4 linked regions of the Schizosaccharomyces pombe genome follow. The gene in region 1 interacts genetically with each later gene. Each region holds a gene or a part of one and is shown in the gene's direction. Other genes may lie near its edges.

Region 1 (5,143 bases):
TCCAATGTTTTCATCATTCAGGTGTTCGTGTGGCTGTAATTGAAACAGGAATGGGTGGTCGTTTGGATGCTACTAATGTATTTGAAGAACCAGTTCTTTCAATAATTTCACGTATTTGCTTGGACCATCAAGCATTTTTAGGAAATACCTTAGAGGCTATTGCTAAAGAAAAGGCTGGGATCTTTAAAAAGAATGTTCCGTGCGTGGTTGATGGGTTAAATGAAGTTAACGTCCTAAATCAATTAAAATTAAGTGCAGAGGAAACGAGGGCACATCCGTTTTATTTGGCAAAAGGAAAATCAGGTGAAAACAAAAATGAGTGGATCATCAATACTCCAAATTGGGGAACCAATACTTTTAGTACTCCATTGAAGGGGGATTATCAAGGACAAAATTTGGCTTGTGCAGTAACTGCTCTCGATATCCTTTCTTCGTCATTTTCAATTATGCTTCCCCATGTACAAAATGGTGTAAAAAATACATCTTGGCCTGGAAGGCTTGACATTCGTTCGGTTCCTTCTTTGGGTGATATTTTATTTGACGGAGCACACAATAAAGAAGCTGCGATTGAGCTTGCGAAATTTGTAAATTCGCAAAGACGTGAGCACAATAAATCAGTATCATGGGTAGTAGCTTTCACTAACACAAAAGACGTTACTGGGATTATGAAAATCCTTCTTCGTAAAGGAGATACCGTTATAGCGACAAATTTTTCTTCAGTAAGTGGGATGCCCTGGATTAAATCAATGGAACCTGAAGTTATAAAAAACAGTATATCTTCGGAATCTTCTGTGGAATGCTATACTGCAGATAATCTAACAATAAGCGAAATTTTAAGACTGGCAAAAGAGAAGAATTCCAGCGTAATTGTATGCGGTAGTCTTTATCTTCTAGGAGACATGTATCGTTATTTAAAACTGGACGTATAGCCTCTAAATCGTGCTGTTTACTTTCATACGTTTTTCCTTGTTTGACAAATTTATCATATGAATTGTCACAGAGTGATGAATTGTGCTCTAGAGAATTTTGTTCCATGACTTAAAAACTAAAATTTACTTTCAAAGAAGCTTGAATGATGCTATCAGGTTAATAGAAAAAAGATAAAAGATTTATATTAAGCTTTGATGGGTTTTTGGTGTGAGTTAAGATATTGAGTTAGAAATTGACTTATAGATTACGAATACATTAGTTTAAATACTTGGTGCGCTCTGCCTGCAGCCTTAATAAAACAGATATTATTTTCATTATGTGACTAGATCTTGATTTACAATTCTTACAAGATAAGGTGGGATAACTGAAGCATATTTAGCACATTGAAAGATTCCGCCTTTCTTTTAATTATTATTAAATACTGTCGTAACTGCAATAAAATAAGTAAAACGCTGAAATCGTTAAAAAAATATACCCTTCTATCTCACAGGTTGAGCTAATCAAGTTGATATACGTATAGTGCAAATGATAGGCATTTAAAAATTAGACTAATATAGTTTAACTATTACATTAATTTTAAAATACACAAACATTTAATTACTGTTTTAAAATTATACTCAGAGTCTAATTAATTACAGATTTACCGTAATCCATAGCGCTTGTTATCTATCATTACAGCAACAATGATTGCTACGCACTAAAATTCGTATACGTTTTAGATATAACATGTATAATCCACCAACATTTTTTGAGTATACAAAAAAGCAGAATGGCTGAACAACCTTCTCGGCAGCAGAGTATGTACTGTGGATGAGTTTAAAATACAAAATAGTTGACCAGTTCCAGTTCTACAGACGCAGTACAATTCATATAAGTCTCGGTTACAACAAATTGCGCAGAAGATTGTCGATTTGGAAACCGATGCTGACGAACATAAGTATGTGATACATAAAAAATTTTTAAATTAAATACCTAACTAAAAAGACTTGTTATGGACACATTAAACTCCATGGATAATAATCGACGTTGTTTTCGAATGATCCATGGAGTGCTAGTGGAGAGAACGGTGGGAACTGTTGTGCCTATCCTTAAAACTACTCAAGAAGGGGTAAGGAATTTTTTTATTTTGACCCTTTATTGTCAGATGAATTTTTGGTCTTGATGTACTAATCAAAATATTAGATTCAAACAGCCATGAATGGTTTGCTCGACCAGTATAAGCAGCTCGAAGCAGAATTCCAAAAGTTTCAAAAAGACAATAAAATTCAAGTCGTTAGACAATAATACAGATGACTCCATTAATTGCGCAGTTGCGTTCATTGACACGCCGACTGTTTTTCAAGTGCTTTATCTTCGGTTTAACATTTTTTTCCTAAACAGAGGAACAGGGATAGAATCCAAGAGTATTTGTGTCATCAAATATCATCACTTTATGTTATTAGAGTTTCACTTAAACCGTAGACTTAATACATGTAGTAAGTTAGGTAGAACTAACTTGATTGCGTCTCTACCTCCTTCACCTCAGGCGGAGATGTTTGAGCAACTTCATCAACAACGTGCTGGGAATCCTTATGGTCGACTTCGTTTGATTTTTCTTTAATTACATTATAGCACACAATTTTTTCAGAGGGTATGTCCTCTTGAATTTTGAAAGCAGGTAATGAGCATAAACCGGGAACGTGAATAGTCATTGAATATGCACAGCTTGAAACTTCTTGATATTGAGTAATTTCAGGAGTATCCGAATTTGTACTGCATTCATAACTTAGAATTACGTGTCTTGGTCTCTTAGTAATGTCGCACATAGTCCCATTTCGGAAAGTTGTTTGCAAATATGCTTTACCTTCAACAAATCCAATAGCCCAATTTTCTTCCAAATTCTTTTTAGTTTGAGTGTTAGGTGCCGTACCAAGTATATACATAGGGTTAGCAAGGACTTTGTCAGAACCTTGCTGCGGCTCCAAATGATATTGACGCACGTGTTGACCGTAGACATAGTCATAAGTCCAATAACCACGATTCTAATACAATGATTAGCTTGAAAAACACTACATGTACTAAAAGTAGTCATTAATTCTAAAATTTTTATGGACATGTCAAATAATGACCTTTTAGTAAAGTTGGTTTGTTTAAGACAAATAAAACAATTAGAACTCGTACCTCGATTAAAAATACATTAGCAAGCTCATTGATTTTTTCAGTCCCTTGTATCCGCAATTCTTGTAAATCATAGCTTGGTTCGGTTGTGCTATTTTGTTTTATAAGAGACGCATTGGGATATACACAAAAATATTCATGCTTTCCAGCATAGAATAATGACGATAATTTAGTTTTTTCAGTTTTTTCTTTAATTGAGTCAATGTCGCCCTCTAATATTGACACATTACTCCATTCAAACGAATATTTAGGATATTCATATGCCTACAAAGGAAGTCCGTTAGAATTGAAGAGAAATTAGGTTCAAGAGCATACATCATTCCAGTCTAACAAAGAAGCTAAACATATTGGAAAAATAAAAAACCCCACAAAAGCAAATGGTAGCACCATAGTCCTAACTTTAGATGAGCCGATTGCAGGTAGAATCAAATGTGGAAACATACTTGAACTGAACATATGCGTTATATCACAGTATACCGAAGTGCGCAAAGCTCGAACAATTTACAAAAAGCTAAATACGATAGTGCGTAAAAAATAGTAGTTTACATTAGAGGTAAGTGTTACACGAGATTGTTAACATGAATGAAAACGAGGGCATTTCACTTGGTGAATTAGGTACGTTGCTACTAGAAGCATTAACTCCTCCTTTTAAATTTTAAACTAATAAAAAACTTTAGAAACAAGACCGTTTTCAGAAGGGATAACGCGGTTTACAAAAGAACAAGCAGCTTATTACGCGGAGCAAAAGGAAAAGGATCGCATTAAGGCTCTTAAAATTCCTTATGAAGATTCCAAAGTTCGTGAATATCTGCGTCGTTATGGTGAACCCATAACTTATTTTGGTGAAGATGCCTTAGCCCGACGCCAAAGGCTTCAGCAATTAATGATCGAAAAGTCCCTAGAAGGAGACAATCCATTAGATGTAGACCAAGGGGCTTCTGAAAATATTGAGAAGGAGACGTATGTTCAAGGAAGTCACGAACTATTAGTTGCTCGTAAAAAAATAGCTCTTTACTCCTTGGAAAAGGCAAAGCTCAGATTAAAAAAAGAACGGGAAATTTCCGAGATTCCAGTACCTGAAATTGTACTTTCCGGAAAGTCTTCAATCGAACATTTACAAAAGGCTGAATTGATGGGCTCTCAGATAGGTGGTGAGCGACCAATAGCCATTGTTAGATTCAGTAATAATGGAAATCATTTTGCTAGCGGAAGCTGGGGTGGCCAGGTCAAGGTGTGGAATTCTGATAACCTCTCAGAGGTTCAATTGTTTCGCGGCCATACCGACCGAGTTTCTGGTTTGGATTGGTATCCTCTATGTCAGGCATGGGATGCAGATTCTGAGCAGCTGACTTTAGCGACTGGAGCCGCAGACAATACTGTTTGTTTGTGGAAAGCAAGTCAATCTACTCCACTGTTACGTTTGGAAGGACATTTGGCTCGTGTTGGTCGAGTTGCTTTTCATCCAAGTGGTGATTACTTAGTTTCTGCCTCATTCGACACTACATGGCGGTTATGGGATGTACATACAGGCGTTGAGTTGCTTATGCAAGAAGGTCATTCGGAAGGGATTTTTTCAATCGCCTGTCAGCCAGATGGGTCGTTAGTTAGCTCAGGTGGTAATGATGCTATCGGTCGGATTTGGGATCTTCGATCAGGCAAATCAATAATGGTATTAGATGAACATATTCGTCAAATTGTCGCGATGGCTTGGAGTCCAAACGGCTACCAACTTGCAACTTCTTCAGCCGATGATACTGTGAAAATATGGGACTTGCGGAAAGTGTCATTGGCACATACTATTCCCGCACATTCTTCTCTTGTTTCAGACGTTCGTTATATTGAATCAGGTGTTAACAGATTCATCGCTACGAGTGGTTATGATGGCTGCGTAAAGCTTTGGAACCCGTTGAACTGCTCATTGATTAAAAGTATGGTGGGACACGAAGAAAAGGTTATGAGTGTTGACGGTTACGGAGACAGATTTATCTCATCAGGATACGATCGTACAATCAAGTTATGGTACCCTTAAATTTGGGTGTGGCAAACGGTTTTGGTA
Region 2 (5,155 bases), on another chromosome or scaffold:
CCACCCCTTTCAGTAATTTTTTATTGCATTTTATAGCAAAACAGGGGAGTGTGAATTTGGCAAGCTGTTAGTTTCTATAGGGAATTTATAACTGCGAACTAAGTTTTCTTACTTGCAATGGCTATATATGGGAGGCCGAATTGCTTGAAAAACATAGCTTTGCATTTGAAACAATTCGCAAAAGTTGGCACTAAGGAAGAAGTTAAGATAAAAAAAATTCAGTTACTTTGGTTTTATGATTTGCAATTAAATTACAGTGATCGCAGAAAGATAGCAGCATTACGAAGACATGTTCAACTGCTACATAACACTTGCTATTGTTAAAGTTTTCGAAATAGTTACTGCCCGTTACATGTAAAGAACAGATAAAAAATAAATTAGAATTACTGTCTTCTCAAATGCTTAAATATTACTACTATGAAATTGTTATATAAACAAAATGTAGCGTTGCAAAGTATTACAGTAAACTTCGTTGTGCTGCATTATTAGTATTGTCCGGGACTTACTGATTCCACGACCTGTAACTAAATTGCTATAATCTCAGACTGTTAGCTTGGGATTGCCTGGAAATTGACAGGATGAGTGTGAGGAAGAATTCTCCTGCAAGCCCAAAGCCAACTTCCCGTTCTAGGGAGAGTTCCAGGTCTCCGTCAGTGACTGATTTGAAAGGTAAATGGAAATTCAAAGCAAAACTTGACTGACCACCATTTTTAATAGACCATTCCAAAGCTAAACGAACATTATGTAGAAATATCTTACTTTATGGATCCTGTAAGCATTCAGAAAATGGATGTGCTTTTCGACATGATGGTGTAAGTATAGGCGTATTCTCTTAACTTCAGAGAAGCTTCTTGCTTACGATTGTTTGTAGCCTTTCATCCCTTCTTCAGAGAATTTGGAGCAATACTCAGTGTATGATTTTTTTTAAGGCTTTGTACGTATAATTAACCTCGCTAGTAAGAAAAAACTGAATGCTGCGTCGGCCTCTTTTCAACCTGTTCGCGCTTTACCAGTAAAGGCTGCTGGCGCTGCAGTATTTGTTCCTAAATCACAAGAAAAATCTCTTTTTCTATCTAGAGAGCGTACCCCTGTTGCGCTTTCACCAGGTAGTCATGTATGTCTGGCTAACAGCTTATATTTTTCTTACTAATTTTACTGTAATTTTAGGCTATTAATCCTTACAATAATGCATCTATGTTGGTCAATGAGCCTTTTCATGATGACTCTGGGGTTTATTATACTCGTCAAAACCAGTTTAAACCCGTAAGTCTAAAGCCTTATTATTGTTGTTGACAACAACAGACATTGTACAATTTATATAATCCGCAACCTTCTCCCATGCCAACTTTACTTCCTTATGAAAGAACTGTAAACGGTCTATTTATTGATGATACGACTAGAGAAAGAATCGAGAGAAAGAGCGAGGCATCCCGTCAGACAATTTCAGGTACTTAATTTGTGTCTAGCTTCCTTTATACTAATATTTTAGCGCTTCCGTCTATTATATCTTCATATACTTCTTTGGCGCCACTGAATACAAAGCTTTATCGGTATAAAGAGCAAATTGGATTCTCTTCTTGGACGTACAAATGCACTTCTTCCATCGATGGGAATGCTTACGTTTTGAAACGACTCCAAGGTAACCTTCAGATTCATAAATTGCAATTGCTAATATATTTAAAAGACTGTTCAATTAATATTGATACGTCGACTGTCGACAAGCTTAAAAATGTTTTTCATCCAAATATCGTACCATTCCATTCTGCTTTTCATACTGATACATTTCATGATTCTTGTAAGTTTATTTTACTAAACCTTACTAATTAATCAAGCGTTACTATTAATTTATGATTTTTATCCGTGTACTACAACCCTTGGTGAGCTCTACCTAAACAATTCTAAAAATTCTGTCAAGTTGGAGGAAAATAGAAAAATTCCAGAACGAGAGTTATGGAATTATTTTTTCCAGCTTACTATCGCTTTGTCATATCTACATAAATCCGGGTTTGCTTGCAACAAGCTTACTCCGTCGAGAATCCTTGTGGATCAAACTGAAAGGTATTTTTTTTTGAACATTTTTTATGTTTTGATGGAATACATTTCTTTAATTCATTAATGACTTATACTAACGTGTAAAGGATTCGTATTAGTGGTTGCGCTGACTATGAATTGGTAGTGTCAAACAAGCCTCCATTAGAGGAACGAAAGAAGCAGGATTTTGTAGATCTTGGAGTTGTGATTGCGAATTTAGCTACTGGAAGAACTGATATGGACATGTCTTCAGCCGCACGAGCAATTTATAGTACATATTCGAGGGAATTTTATAAAGCGGTTTTATACTTTGTATCGGAAGTTCCTGAGGATAAAAACTTGGAGTTGTTTTTGCAAAATCACATAGAAAGTTTTTTCCCTATAATGAGTTCACCATACGTGGAATGCGAAAAAATGGAGAGAAAAATTTCGGACGCTTTCCAACACGGTCGATTTTTTAATATTTTGTGCAAGATTATGTTTATTATTGATAATAATAGAGCTTCTCGTGAATATCCTATCGCACGAGAAAAAGAAATTTCATTAATCTACTTATTACGAGATTATCTTTTCCATCAGATAGATGAAGATGAGTGTCCTGTGATAGATTTATATCAAGTGCTGAATCGCCTGGGAAAGGTAAGTTTTTTACATTTTTCTCATTATTGCATTTATTAATTCATTAGCTTGATGCCGGTATAAATCAAGCCATCGCATTAATTTCCCGAGATGAACTTGATTGTGTTTCAGTTTCTTATGGGGAGGTAAGTATTTGCTCAAAAAGCCATAGTGGGTGCTTAGTAAATTAGACTACTTTTCCACACTATATAGCCTGTTTGTTTGCAAAATTACTAACAATAACAAATGTAGCTAAAAGCTTGGTTGGACAACGTTTACGAAATGGAAATAAATTCTTAAAATAAAACATTTTTCTTTACAGAATATTTATTTGTTTTTTTGTATCTATTACCATGGTTGTTAATTTAAGTAAATAATAGTTTTCGCTATAATAATATTAGAAGGAAGCTAAGCTTAATGTGGTTTTGAATTACCTACTGCAACACACCGTATTGAAACAAAAACGATCAGGAATAGAAGCCTGACACTTATCAGATAAAATTCATTAATACGTTTTCCTGGTTTAATTATTAATTACGGAAACTCCCATGCTTGTTAAGGTACATACAGACGGTTAATCATAAACTTCTTAGAGGAGAGAGTTTAGCAGTTGTCCTCAAAAAATGGCAAACCCTTTCGTTCGAAATCAATCTTTTAAATCAGTATTTTTTAAAAATTTAGTCGGAATTACCCTATGGGTACCCGTATTAATGTTCGTTGAACAACATGTAGTCAGCGTCGGTACAATTGAAGGTAGATCTATGAAACCAGCCTTTAACCCTGAGACAAACATGCTGCAGAGAGATAGGGTACTACTTTGGAAATGGAATAAGGATTACAAAAGAGGAGATGTAGTTATACTACGGTAAGTTCTTGGATCGTTGCAGGGTCTTTCGGTACTGAGTTTCCCTTTTTATCGTTACTAATAAGCAACAAGCTCTCCAGAAAACCCAGAGGAACTATTGGTAAAAAGAGTTCTAGGAGTAGAATACGATATCATGAAAACGAGACCTCCTAAAAAGTTGTCATTAGTACCCGTTCCCGAGGGACATGTGTGGGTCGAAGGCGATGAACAATTTCATTCTATGTAGGTTTCCAACAATTGTTTTTTTACTTTTTCGTTTTCTTCTATAGAGATATTAACTAGTTTACAGTGATAGTAACAAATTTGGCCCAGTATCGACAGGACTCATCACTGCCAAAGTGATTGCAATTTTGTTTCCCTTCTCTCGTGCAGGGCGTATTGATCATGAAGGTTTCCGAAAGAATGCAGTGTTTTTAAGTGGAAAACGTTCTGTTAAGTAAGCTGCACCACAGTGAACCTGTTTCCTTGACAGTTTAGTTCCATGCTGGTTGGTGCTTATTTACATTTCTTTTAAGGAACACGTTATCCTTAAATTTAATTTATTTCGACGCGTCGCGTTCTATATATGACGTCATTAATATGTCTATCTATTTACCTATTTGAAAAAGATGGAAGTTGGAAGCTACTTTGTATTAGAAATACCAATAAAAAAATATAATTTTTTCATACTCAACATCAAAACTTTTATTTAGGGAAAATTAGAATTGACTGAAAAATCCGTCTCTTTTGCATATCCCGAAACAGTAAAGTCGTTGAGTATAGCAAAGTTGGAAATTTTTCAACAGGGTATTTGAAATGAGAAAGAATTCCATTTCTAAGTAGCCTTTAAATAAAACCCCCAGAAGAAACGAACATTGAAGTAGTCCTTTGTTTTCCTTAGGAAGCCTCATATATCGTTACTTCGAATACGGTCTAACGCCGTACCAAATGTATACAGCTGCGTGAACCTTCCCAGAGCGAATTTGTGTATAACACGAAATCCGAAAAAATTACTTCTATTTATTTGAAAAAGAAAGGAATTCACAATCTCTTAAACAAACCAAGTGGTGAGGAGCTCGAGTCTTCTTTCATGGTCAGTTCAGCACCCTTATTTTCGAGAAAAACGTGCTGCCCTTTATAAAAAATTCGATATTTTTTCGGCATTTTTTATTTTAATATACTATAATGGCTTCAGCCAATTTTATTCGCCAGTTTGAGCTGGGGAACGATTCTTTTTCATACCAAAAACGCCCAGAGGATGAGCCATCACAACCCCTTTCAAACAGAAATATAAACAAACTAAACGATTCATCTACTTTAAAAGACTCTAGTTCAAGGATTTTTATTAACTCCCAAGTTTTACGTGATGGCCGACCCGTAGAATTGTATGCTGTCGAATGTTCAGGCATGAAATATATGGAGCTTAGCTGTGGGGATAATGTTGCTCTTCGAAGATGTCCAGATTCTTACTTTAATATCTCTCAAATACTTCGACTTGCTGGTACTTCGTCATCTGAAAACGCCAAAGAATTGGATGATATTATCGAGAGTGGGGACTATGAGAATGTTGACTCCAAACACCCTCAAATAGATGGAGTATGGGTTCCATATGATCGAGCAATTTCTATAGCAAAGCGATATGGGGTTTATGAAATTTTACAA
Region 3 (7,304 bases), 500 kb from region 1:
TTATATCTTTAAATCTTATTGCTATACTGATTTTGAACCAAAGACACTTGTGTTTGGATGTTGGCGAAAAGTAAATTCGTAACACCAAACACAAGGCACACTGGACAACTTTTATAAATATCCACTAATTTCAATAGTAAGCAATCTCAACAGCAGACAGCTTTCGGATAACATGCGTTAGATACGTAAAGCACTCAAATAGAAACATATAATTTACACAGGGATTTAATGCATTTACTAACAAATTACCATTCTTAAATATGACTGATTTCTATTTCAAAATTCAATTGCCTGCCTTGCGACAAACTATCCATCAAATTTAGTACTTGCATTTTTTTCATTGATCACAATTTATACCCCGTATGTATAAAATCTTACTAAAAGGCATCTTAATTGTCTGAGTAAGAACTTTGGTTAAGGGTAGACGGTTGAGAGCATGCACTTATTTGAATCACTTTATGGCATTTTCTTTATAATAGTACAACATTGCAGAAGTGAATGACATCTAAAGCTACTGCTACTATGATTTTGCATTTGTCTTACTTTAACATTATCTACCATGCGTTTCCAACGAATCCTATTTTAAAGTGTAAAGTCAGTTAAATGTTAACTGTGTGTACCTTCCTTCCTTCGAACGATCGCATTTATTGTTGACAAACATTACTCAAACTTTCAAATGACTTTTATTCAAAAAATTTTAAAATTCTACCAAATATTTGTAGGACAGAGAAAGAAAAAAAAAATATATATGATTGTAGGTAAATCCTTAATTTAAAGAGGTTAAGTGCGTTCTAGTATCTGTATTTTCAAATAGTAAACATAAGTAACATGTGACCTGTTTAATTTAGCATTAAAATGGAAAAAGTATAGAGCAATTAGGGTGCCTTGTAAATAAAAAAATTGCAATTCAATCTATAATTTTTTTATTAGTATCATTTTGCTTATTTTTTGAGTCCGTACGAAAGTTACGTTTTGCCTTCCCAAATTGCCGCAATGGTAAATTTTCCGCGCACAATTTAATCAAGGCTATTATCACTGAAAAAATCTCAACTGCAAGAATTCTTTTTCCTTCGGCCAACACTTGCTACGCAAATTGAATTGCCATTTGAGGCAGATTTTTTTGTTTAAATTCGAAGAAAAAATCCCAATATTAAGTCATGTCTGAGAAACAAACTATCAAAGCCCTTCCTGCACACAATCCTACTCAGGTGAAAAAACTTGGTCCCGTTAGTGGATTTTTGTCAGGTGGTCTTGCAGCTTGTGGTGCTGTAACACTGACAAATCCTTTCGAAGTTATTAAAACGCGTTTTCAACTTCAAGGTCAATTGACAAAATTGGATCCTTCTAAGCGAATTTACAAAAGCGTCGGTCAGGCATTTTCTCTAATCGCTAGACATGAAGGTATAAGAGGTCTTCAACGAGGCCTTGGTACTGCTTATGTTTATCAAATCTGCCTCAATGGCTGTCGTCTCGGGTTTTACGAACCGATTCGACGTACTCTGAATACGTGGTTCCTTGATGATCCCAAGGGTAATAAATTAGCTATTAACGTTGCAAGTGGCGCCGGTTCAGGTTTATGTGGTGCCTTGTTTGGCTCTCCCTTTTTCTTGGTTAAGACTCGCATGCAGTCGTATTCTCCTAAATTTCCCGTTGGCCAGCAGTATGGTTACAAGCATATATTTAATGCATTCAGTCGTATTATTAAGGAAAATGGTGTTAAGGGTTTGTTTGTTGGTGCTGATGCTGCCATTCTCCGTACTGTCTCTGGTTCCTCTGTTCAGCTTCCTATCTATAATTGGGCTAAACGCATGATTGAGCATTACAATCTATTGGAAGAGGGTATGATCAAACACTTAACTGCTAGTGCTGTTTCTGGATTTGGTGTATGCTGCACCATGCAAATTTTCGATACTGTTATGACTCGTATGTACAACCAAAAGAACAAGGAGCTTTATAAAAATCCGATTGATTGCATCCTTAAAACAATCCGCTCTGAAGGATTCTTTGCCTTATATAAGGGTTTTGGTGCTCACTTGGCCAGAATCGCTCCTCACACAATTTTCTGTCTTACCTTCGTGGAGCAAACCAATAAACTCTTTTTGAAATTCCAAAAGGATTAAGTTGTTTTTTCAAACGCACGTTTCTTTATTTATAAATAATTTTGGTACTAAACCATAAAAACCCCCAGTGGCTTTGGTGTATATCAAGTGAACAGTTAAATTGTAAAGAAATGATGTTTGTATCTAAGAACGATTTTTATTTACATTCGTTGTCTCGTTACTTATTTCCACTCTACTTTCATTTAAAAGTCGATTTTTCTTTTCAAGCTGTTTTTGATCAATCGGCATGTTTTTGTCTTTTGTAATATATATCCGTCAGTTATCTCAATATATGTACGTATTTGTTTTTGGATTTCAGGCATCTGGCTGCGTTTGTATATCAACTTACCTTTTATTTAGTTATTAATATACTTATTTTCTCTATAATTAAAGATTGGAAACATTACCGCTTTGTGTAGTCACAATGGATAAATTTCTTCATTTTGCGTCGTTTTTATTTGAAATCTTTACATTTCGCCAACAGTTATATGTTTTTTAGATAAATCATGTTAGTTTAATAAAATATTTTCTGAACTTCTTATCGTAGTATTCGTGTTCACTAATTTGCTCGTTCCTGCTGACTCTAATAAACGGATCGGACACCTCTATTCAGTACAACATAATAAAATCTGAATATATCCGTTACATATAAAAATAATCTGTTTGTTTTTAAGGATCTATTAAAGGTTTAGTAAAAAAAAACCGCCTTACGGTTTAAACTGCTGTTTGGTAAATTCAGTTAAAAAAAAGAAAAAAAATGACAAGTAAGTTAAAATACCTTGCTACTCATCTGCTAATTTTTTAGTTCGTTCATTGAATTTGTTTATCATAGACAAAAAGCATCAACATAAATCTAGCTTGAGCAGTTTTCAAAACTGTAAGTTGGGTATTGACGCAAGTTTTTACTTGACTCAAATTATTCATTCCTTTACCCCACAGGAACTTCAAAGTTTGGCAGTAAATGGTGAATCCGAATATCTACAACACAGAATTTCGGAATTCCTTGAGCAGTTGAGAACTGAGAATATCACACCCATTTTTGTTTTCAATGGTATACCTCTTACCTTTGAAGCCAGCAGCCAGCTGGAAGTGCCGGGAAAGCAAAAAAGTCATAGTGCATTGACAGATTTCGAAGCTTTTGATCCTTATGATGCAAATATTCAGCGTAATATGTACCGCATGGACGCAAGTGGTCCTGCGAATTACGGCGAAAGTAAACCAACACTTTTGTACACCAATCAGCGAGATCATTTAGATCGTCTTTGCGACCAGGTAAAGTTTTACTTAGATCAATGTAATGTGGAGTATTTTGTCGCCCCGTATCTGGCTATGGCTCAATTAGCATATTTTCTAAACGGCACATCTTCACCTTACATCGATGCCATCTATGGTTCCACGGATCTGCTTCTTTTTGGTGTTAAAAAATTTATTACTTCTATGAACACATCTTCTAACGTTAAAATCTCATCTGACCCTTCATCCCCATCAACTCAAACAACTATCAATTCGGCCGCTAAAAGTTCATTCACATGGTTAGATGGAAATGCCCTTCTTCAAGACACGAACGGCCTTTCATGGCAGCAGTTCATCGATTCCTGTTTATTGTGTGGTACTGCTATTTCTCCTACATTTCCTCAGATTGAGGGTACTTTTCTAATTAAAAGCGCAATGGAGCTTGTTCGTATGTTTGGTTCTGCGTATCGTGCAGTCCTTCATTTTGCTGAAATCTTTCCCCAGCCCATTTTTCAAGATTATCTTCAACAGTACAAAAGGGCTGTTTGTTTCTCTAAGTTTGGAATTGTGATGGATACAAAAGGTCTCACTTTACCACCAGTTCCCACAGAATCTGTTCCTAACGACATAAATATATATTTTGGCACCCGTCTTCCCAACGAGATTTATTTTTACATTTCTCGCGGTCTTATTCCTTGCAAAATGATAGGTGCTTTAGTATCTGGATGTTTTAGTGATCCTGTTTCCATACTTGAACAACATATTGGTGACAAAGCATCACAAGGAACATTTTCTGGTGCTAATTCTGGTTTAAATCCTGGTCGCGACAATGCAGCAGCTGTAGCGGCTGTGGATCAACGGCGATTTGTTGACGATTTAGAAGAAATATGGTCGCAGGGGCTAAATTTATTGACCCAACCGCTTAACAGATTTTACCAAGCCAGAGATATTGTTTCCCTTCATGGCCATAATCAGCAAGCTTCTTTGAAGGTAATGCACAGCTATGATCCTCCTTTGTATAATGATACGAGAGCATGGATGATATACGAAGAAAACTTACCGAGTTATTTATCTAGTAATTTTTTAAAGGAAGAACCCGTTGTATTATTTGATCTACTACGTGCTTTGAACGATCCGGTATTTGTAAAGAAAAGCTTTTGCACTGAAGGTAATATTGGCATAAAAAACCCTCCCAAGCATCCTCTGTCTTCTACTGCGGAAATCGTCTTAAGTTCTTGCTACAGATTTTTGCAAATTAGATCTTTCGTTTTAACATCTCATCAATTAACATCTTGGGGATGCCCCTTGTTAAAAGCGTTGGAAAATTGTCACTTACAGAACCAAACTTCCGTTGTTGTTTTATTCGAGCTTCTTAGACTAAGACAATTAAAAGAGCCCTCTTTACTTTCCTCCTCAAGTGCAAGCATCGCCGATTTATCCATAACTTCTGCCACAGAGTTCTTGGCAAAGGTTGCAACATTTCTACCAATAAAACAGAGACCTGAAGTTAGTAAAATTTCTATAGTTGATGAGAATTTATTACAGTTTTATCAGCTACAAACTAGCTTCGGATCCAACTTGAAGGAACTCATGGCCATGATTCTTGCCTCGGTCATCTTGAACAGAAACGTCGACAAAAGCAAAATAGATCCTAAACTTATCCGAAAAACGTACGTGTTTTTTTCTCTTTCTCCTTTTTTGTTTATATTTAAAGTTTCTAACCAATTTAGCTTACCTTTTCAAAACATAAATGGTAGCCTTGTCTCAGGTTTTGTTGTCAAGCGCTTTTTTGAAATCATTTCAAAAGAGCAAGAAGCCAGTTCTCAACAGGAAAACATCCAGAAGGCTTATGAAATAATAGAAAAGGAATTCCCAACCATTGGATCTGCGGAAAACCATATTGCCCAGTTTTTGGAATTCTGGAAAACTTTTATGGAAGGGGTTAAGGAAGCAGAAAATACAAGTGCCATTGGCAAGCTCGTTTTAAGTAAACTCTTCCTTACTAACCAATGGATATTTTCTCTTGGCTTATGAAGACCAGAACTAGTAGTTTATGAATAGAAATAAATTAGTGAGAGAAGTATCCTTCTTTTAGCGGGAGCTTTTAACACATTCGGCACAGTCATAATGCACATTTACATGAATTACTTTCCCTCATACTGTCGAAGCATTTTCAACATGCTATACACTCATGTGATTACACTTGATTATTGTTGAGATATTATTTCGAACAAGTAAAGTATTGTTAATATTAATATTCAACTACATTGTTTCTTCCCGAAAAAAGGAAGGGAAAGAAAAATAGAGAAGCACAGCTTTGAATGAAAACCCAATGATGTTTAAACTTTTTTATAGATATAGTTTAATTTGTTCTAAAGGATACTATATTTATTTTTAGCAATACACTTACCTGTCAAAAAATAACTTATACCGTTGTTTTTACACTATAGTATGGGAATAATTTTTAACTTATTTGATAAGTTCAAGCGGATTTTTTAGATTTTAGTTTATGTGTACTGGCTCACTCACAAAAAACCGAATTCGCATCAGAAACATAATTTTACCTAATCAATTTCACGAATTAAAAACCTTGTGCTTACAGAAAGACTTGCTTAGTTTAACCACTTACAAGCTGGATAGTATAATTTTGTTTTAAGATATTTACTGTATAGATGCTGTTTACGACAACTTGCTAGCTTTGAGAATCTCCAATTCTCACACTAACATCTAATAATATTTGTCGATAGTTAACAAAATTCTGACAATGTCAGTTTTTAAATATAAACGGTAGTAGTTGAAGTAACTGACAGTTAATCAAAATCTCTGTAACTTATTGTTTACATTGCATATTGCGAGACTTGACACACTATTTAGAAAGTCTTAAGCAAGCGTAAGCCATTACTGTGGAGTTCATTAAGCTTAACTTTAATGAACTGCTATTAGTGTAGTCTCATTTTGTAAGGCGTAGCACAATGTCCCGTGTGGTTCAGCAAGCTACCATCAAATAATAGTTTGATTTTCCATTTGGTGTGAATCTAGCAACAACCAACATTATTTGTTCAGATGCACTTATGAAGTCTAGTGGTATCGCAGGCGATTCCAATGGATTTGAAACAAATTTTCTAAATGAAACGACTAATCGAGAAGAAGATGGTGCATTTAATTGGAACGCTGCAGATGATGGCACTAACGAACGAAGAGAGGATATTCATGTACGATTTCAGGATAGCGCTCTTCCATTAGGAATTGATGAAAATGAGCTTGATGAAATTGATATAAATGGGGACAGCAAAAAATTGGATTCTGTTGAAGTTGACGAATCACACGATGTTAATTCGCCATCAGATAGCAGACTGAAATCATCTTTCAAGTCGGTATTAGAACTGACAGCTAATTCTATGGTTTCAGTGTTAACTCCATCTACCAAAACTGAGCAGACCTCGAAAGGAAAGGGAAAAAAGAAGAAAGCACATGTTTCCTTCCTAGAGGGACCTGTGGAAGAAATCCCATTAGATGATATTGAGCCTACTTCTCCTCGTGAGGCATCACCTGTGTTCAATGGGCGTCCTCCAATTCCTCCGGAATTTTTAAAGTCGCGGCATAAAGAGTTTACAATACCAAATCCTTTGCAGTTCATTTCCAATTTCTTATCCAACTTGTTTTCGCGTGATACACGGTATTTGAAGTCGAGTCATGGTCGAATAATTATCATAAACCCTTACGATGACTCCTCCCAAATTGATGAGCGTACAGGAAAGCCCTATATGCAAAACAGCATTGTTTCGTCTCGGTACAACAAATACAATTTTGTCCCTTTACAGATCATTGCTCAATTTTCAAAAACTGCCAACTGTTATTTTTTGCTGATTGCTATTATGCAAATGATTCCAGGTTGGTCAACCACCGGTACTTACACTACAATCATCCCTCTACTTATATTTATTTCAATTGCAATCCTTCGTGAAGGGTTTG
Region 4 (5,192 bases), 3.1 Mb from region 1:
TAGGCCTTATGAATGTGAACAAAAAGCAGGAGTCGATACCAGTAAACACCGGATCTGAAAGTATTTCCTCTAACGACAATGAAAGGTTTGAGCAAGGAAAGGGCGTCGGCTCAAACCTTGGATCCCATTTCTTTGAGCCGGTAGAATACTATTATTCTGATGGTAAACCGATGAATCAAACAGAAGCAAGCCAGATGAAGGGAACCTTTTCTAGAGATTTTTCTTTAAATGAAATGAATAATGAATTTATCACAGATTCTTTCTTTTGTACAACGACTCCTGATCCAAAAACTGAATCTCCCTCTTTTGTGAAATACAATGCCCATTGTGATGACCACCCAGAGATTAGCGGCCATGTGTCCTCGAATGATAAAGACTTTGCATACTTTGAAGATAAATCTGAAAATCAACCACTGGTTACTCTTCCTAACGAGAATAATCAGGTTATTGAACCGTTAAGCTCACAAAGTTGTAAATCTCAATTATCAACCCAAAATTATTCGGAAAGTGATTTTGGTTGGAACCAGCTGTGTGATCTCGATCCTATATTTAAATCTTTGGCTTTTACAGACGATACTAATCTATTCCCTGCATTTGCAGACTCTGAAGCCGCACTGATTATGCTGAAGAAAAGAGAAATGACGAGAGTGAAGCATAGGGCAGGAAGGCCAAGAAAGTATTCGTATGTTAATAAAGATTTGAACTTCGAGGAAGGATTGCCAAGAAGAAGGGGAAGACCTACAGGCTGGAGGAAGTATCCTGAAAAGGAGGAAATATATCCTACTCTGTCTCCAAGGATTAAGAAACCGAGAAAAGTTTTCGATGCTGTAGTCATTCCGGTTACCATAAAACCTAGTATATATACAGAGCCCTCGTTACCTCATCATATCGATTGGAACAATGGTTGTTCTGAGGAATTTGATTTTGAGCCATCAAGAGAGGATGAAGACTTCCCTGATTTAACTTCTGATTCTACTGGTCAAGATCCATTGTCTAGTGAGCCGACTATTTTTGACATTTCTCCATTACCTAGTGATATGGAGCCAACTTTTTCCGAAAATTCATTAATTACCATTAACAAAATGGCAATAGAAGAACGGAAACAATCACGTCGACTTGAGCAACCACTAGCTGAATCTCAACATCAAGAAGATTTGTTGAATCCCTACGGTGTAGATCAAGACTTTGATGAAACTTGCATCAATGAGTCTGAACAACAAGCCACGCATATTCCTAATTCAAGTATTAAATTTAACTATGATTACACTCCCCCTAAGTCTGCTACCTCCCATAAGCATAAGAGGGTCGATCTTCTAGCATCTCGGAAGGAGAATGTTTGGACTGGATTGTATGGGAAAGTACAAACTGAAATGGTTTCCAACAGAGGCGAAGCTGTGTTGAATGAAAATAATAGCAAAAATCGTACTAATGTCACTAAGCCGAATTCATACAAAAACAGTGTTTTATCAATTGGGAATAATCATTCAAACCATTCTAATATTATTAAACCGAACACCTATAAAAATACTATTTTGTCCAATGAGAACAATACTCCAAACTATTCTAATGTCTGTCTTTCTACCTCTTTGATAAATCGAAGCCTTCCATCTCTTAAATCTACTATGCACCCAGGGGTCAACAAAGATTTAATTACGCGGCCATTTAAGAATGTTAATAAAATGTCTGTACGAAAGGCTCTCATTAAACCATTTCATCCTCCGATTTCGAAGATTTCGCGAACCCGCTTAACTGTTTCCTCACCTGAACGGCTGTATTGTGCCAAGCCTATCTCAATGGCTACTGCTCCAAGTGAAACGGATAGCAAACTAATTAACAGAATCCGTAACCTTGAATTAGAAATTGGTGGCTTGAAAGAACAATTATCCGTTGTAGAGCTCGCTCTTGACACTGACAAAAATTCTAAACAGATACAGGTGGTTGAAAGAAAAATCCAAAATTGGCGAAAATCTGCGCAATTAGCAGTCGAAGTGCTATTTCCTGTTTTTTCTTTGAAGTTTACAACCATGCTTCAAGAAGTTCCACAGTCTGTTTTACGCACATCAGCTAATGATTTACGCACCAAGCCATGTTCCATTGGTACGTACCTTGAACAGTTGCAAATACCCTTCCATCTCCTTCAATATAATTCTGAGACAGAAAGCTGGGACCTGGAATAATATATGTTTTTAGTTTTTTCTTTGCTTCCTGTCTGTTGTTTCTATCTATTTTTGTTTTTTTTTGTCATATCAGTATTTTACAGTTCATGATTCACATTAAAGGTACTATAGTTATCTAATGTTATTTTAATAGCAATATAATTAGGAATCAAAAATTCATTTTATTATTTGCATGTTTACGTATATAAAAATCTATAACGGCGCTTGGAATAATTTTGCCCTTCGCGCATCTCACGATATACTTTCAGTAATACGAAAAAAATCGGTTCTTAAAACGATTAGGAAAATGAGCTCTAACAAAGTTACTGCGGCTATTATTGACTATTTGAAGCAAGCTATTACCACCGGTTCGATTTCTGAAGAAGAAAAGGAAAGCTTGGAGGTTGCTGGTATGTGTAACCCCATTTAAGATAATCTAACCAAAATCAGCTCAATGTATTCAAGATTCTTTTAAAATCAAACCAGAAGAAATTAAGCCCAAGTCAGGGGATCGTTTAGTTGCTGCTTTTGAGGAGTACGAAAAACTGCATCCAGTGGAGGAGGATTCCACTGCTCATGTTAATAAAGAAGAGGCTGAGAAATTAAAACTTGAAGGAAATAATGCCATTGCGGCAAAGGATTATCAAAAAGCTTTGGATTTATACACTAAAGCCATAGAAATCGATCCTACCTCTCCAGTTTACTACTCCAATCGTGCAGCCGCGTATAATCAGCTAGGGCAATTCGAAAATGCTGTAGAAGATGCTTTAACATGCTTAAGTTTAGATCCTCATCATGCTCGAGCCTTTGGACGACTTGGTCGTGCCAAATTGTCACTTGGCGATGCAGCAGCGGCAGCTGATGCTTATAAGAAGGGCTTAGACTTTGATCCCAATAATGAGGTTTTAAAGAGAGGTTTGGAAGCTGCTAACAAGCAATTGAATCAACCATCGGATTCATCCGCTACTTCTGGAGCTGACCAAGCTCGCACTTCTGCTGGTGCCGCTCCTGATCTTGGATCCATTTTTGGAGGAGGTATGCCTGATTTAGGTTCTTTGATGAACAATCCTGGTAAGTTTTTTAGTGTATACATTATTCATTGTTAATAAGTGATTTTAGCTGTTATGAACATGGCGCGTAACTTGATGCAATCGGGTGCTTTGAATAATATTATGAATGACCCTAATATTGCCAACATGGCCCGTAACTTTCAATCTGGAGGAGGTATGCCTGACTTGAGTTCTCTTGCCAATAACCCCCAACTGCAAAATTTGGCTCGCAATTTTATGAACAATAACAATAATGGCAACACTGATAACAATAACCAAGGAAATCCTCCCCCTCAATAAAGTATAGGTGTATATTGATTTGTTTGTTTTTGCTTTTCATTCAAGCAGTTTATATCTTGCATTTAAATTCATTTTGAATACTTGAAGAATTGCTTTGACATTTTTTAGTACCTTGCATATACAATCATTCTGCTAATCAATCATATTGTACATGTTTGTTAAGATTACCGTATTTACAGTAGCGTTTGCATCGTTTTTCGTATTATTTTTAAATAGTTCATCTAATTTTTATTGATAATTTTACAATAGCTTTCGTTGTATGAAAATAAGGACTTCATTAAACAATTCTTTTGAAATAATTCAATCCCCTTGACCCATCTCTTCTGTGCTTTCTTCTGCAGGTTCCGTCTCTGAGTTTGTTGATGTAAACAAGCTTCCAAAAAATGAACGTAGTCGGGTCATCACCGGAGTTCCATCTTCTGATTCTTCACCAACCTCCGATTCAATCTGTTGTAGCAATTGTTCAGCAGGAGGAAGATCAAACTCATGAGCAGGGGGTTCTTCCTCATTTTCATTAACTTCTCTTGCTCTGGATAAATAATCGGACAAGAACGACGCAATTCGACGAGATATATCTCTACCAAAGACTTGTGACTCGCTTAAATATGTATCAGGAGGTAGAGGATCAAAGGATAAAATAGTTCCTTGCAAGATTCTCTGTGGTAGAAATTTTCTCAAGCTTTGCTCATTTAACAGGATAACACGCCTAGAGAGATTTTCAGTGAGTTCTGCGAATTGTCCTTCTACATCGTGCAGGGTCACGGTTTCTTTTTCAAGAATGGAATTAATGAATGCTAATACCGTAGGATCAGACCAGCTATCCTTAGCATATAAAGCATACATAGCAGAATGTAACTCTTGAACTGGATCTTGAGGGGATGGAATAGAGGATTTTGTGAAAGAGATATTCAAAGTGTCCAACAATTCACTTAGCATGTAAGGTGCACGTTCAAAGGCGGCAAGCATACTCGCTCGTGTGTCGGTAGTATCACCATGTACGTAAAACATGGCAAGTGCTGACGAATATAACATATTTGGCGTGTCCGAAATTTTGTTTGAATTTTCCAGGTAATTCGCAAAATCAATTATCCAAGCAAATTCTCTTCGACGAAGTGCATATATATCAATACAAGTACCAATTGCGTAGGGGTCTGACATGTCGAACTGCAGTAAAGCTTTACAAAACTCAAAGACGGTTCTCCAACAACCCCGGCTTTGTAGACTTTGTAAATATCTCCAAATACAGAGGAAAAGACGCCGATTAGAAGGGATGGCAAAAGGAAGCCGCGTGGCACCAGTTGCAAGATTAAATCTAGGATGAAGAATACTGTCGAAAGCATAAAGACCGCGGGCAACAAGCTCTGCTGACAGTTCATGATCGCCCTGCTGATCTATTATTTCAGAAACTTGTAATAACGTGTCTATATGAAAAGGATGGGAGCGTAAAAGCATAAGTAGGTTATTAGGGTCATAGGTTTGCACGTAATACTCGAATGTCTCTTGAACTTCCTGGTAAGCACGACTCTGAGTGATTTCAAAAAAGCACTCTAAGTCTTGTGACTGACCGGTAAGTTTCATTCCAAGTCCAGATCTTACTAAAGGAGGCCATCCTTCTTGAGGCTGTACTAAAACATGGCGTTTCCTCCGCAGGTTATCATGTCGAGCGTTGACCGAACGTTTCTCAACG

Evidence for each region.
Region 2: mutations in pfd2 (region 1) and mmp2 together harm fitness more than expected from each alone (negative genetic interaction), as found in Schizosaccharomyces pombe (one large-scale study listed by BioGRID).
Region 3: mutations in pfd2 (region 1) and mkt1 together harm fitness more than expected from each alone (negative genetic interaction), as found in Schizosaccharomyces pombe (one large-scale study listed by BioGRID).
Region 4: mutations in pfd2 (region 1) and sgt2 together harm fitness more than expected from each alone (negative genetic interaction), as found in Schizosaccharomyces pombe (one large-scale study listed by BioGRID).

Annotation. Positions count from the first base shown.
Region 1 is NC_003424.3:512,132-517,274, forward strand, and holds pfd2 (prefoldin subunit 2), read left to right. Parts: upstream 1-1,670; 5' UTR 1,671-1,699; coding exon 1,700-1,727; intron 1,728-1,776; coding exon 1,777-1,867; exon of another isoform or gene 1,868-1,914; coding exon 1,915-2,038; exon of another isoform or gene 2,039-2,112; coding exon 2,113-2,214; 3' UTR 2,215-2,420; downstream 2,421-5,143. Other genes in the region: fol3 (folylpolyglutamate synthase), read left to right, coding at 1-929; putative misfolded glycoprotein sensor Yos9, read right to left, coding at 2,421-2,951, 3,091-3,351, 3,403-3,477; rna4 (Prp4 family U4/U5/U6 small nuclear ribonucleoprotein complex subunit), read left to right, coding at 3,666-3,702, 3,765-5,116.
Region 2 is NC_003423.3:2,763,114-2,768,268, reverse strand, and holds mmp2 (endopeptidase catalytic subunit), read left to right. Parts: upstream 1-3,085; 5' UTR 3,086-3,272; coding exon 3,273-3,514; exon of another isoform or gene 3,515-3,586; coding exon 3,587-3,736; exon of another isoform or gene 3,737-3,803; coding exon 3,804-3,954; 3' UTR 3,955-4,140; downstream 4,141-5,155. Other genes in the region: PAN complex subunit Ppk26, read left to right, coding at 579-669, 718-812, 872-912, 958-1,114, 1,168-1,263, 1,303-1,447, 1,490-1,639, 1,685-1,795 and 4 more; DNA-binding transcription factor, MBF transcription factor complex subunit Cdc10, read left to right, coding at 4,679-5,155.
Region 3 is NC_003424.3:1,014,428-1,021,731, reverse strand, and holds mkt1 (post-transcriptional RNA stability regulator Mkt1), read left to right. Parts: upstream 1-2,678; 5' UTR 2,679-2,856; coding exon 2,857-2,863; exon of another isoform or gene 2,864-2,904; coding exon 2,905-5,002; intron 5,003-5,062; coding exon 5,063-5,366; 3' UTR 5,367-5,629; downstream 5,630-7,304. Other genes in the region: oac1 (anion transporter), read left to right, coding at 1,158-2,120; dnf1 (P-type ATPase), read left to right, coding at 6,404-7,304.
Region 4 is NC_003424.3:3,626,158-3,631,349, reverse strand, and holds sgt2 (SGT2 family TPR repeat-containing protein), read left to right. Parts: upstream 1-2,394; 5' UTR 2,395-2,463; coding exon 2,464-2,566; exon of another isoform or gene 2,567-2,606; coding exon 2,607-3,227; exon of another isoform or gene 3,228-3,275; coding exon 3,276-3,505; 3' UTR 3,506-3,675; downstream 3,676-5,192. Other genes in the region: DNA recombination mediator Swi2, read left to right, coding at 9-2,177; protein Rqc1, read right to left, coding at 3,806-5,192.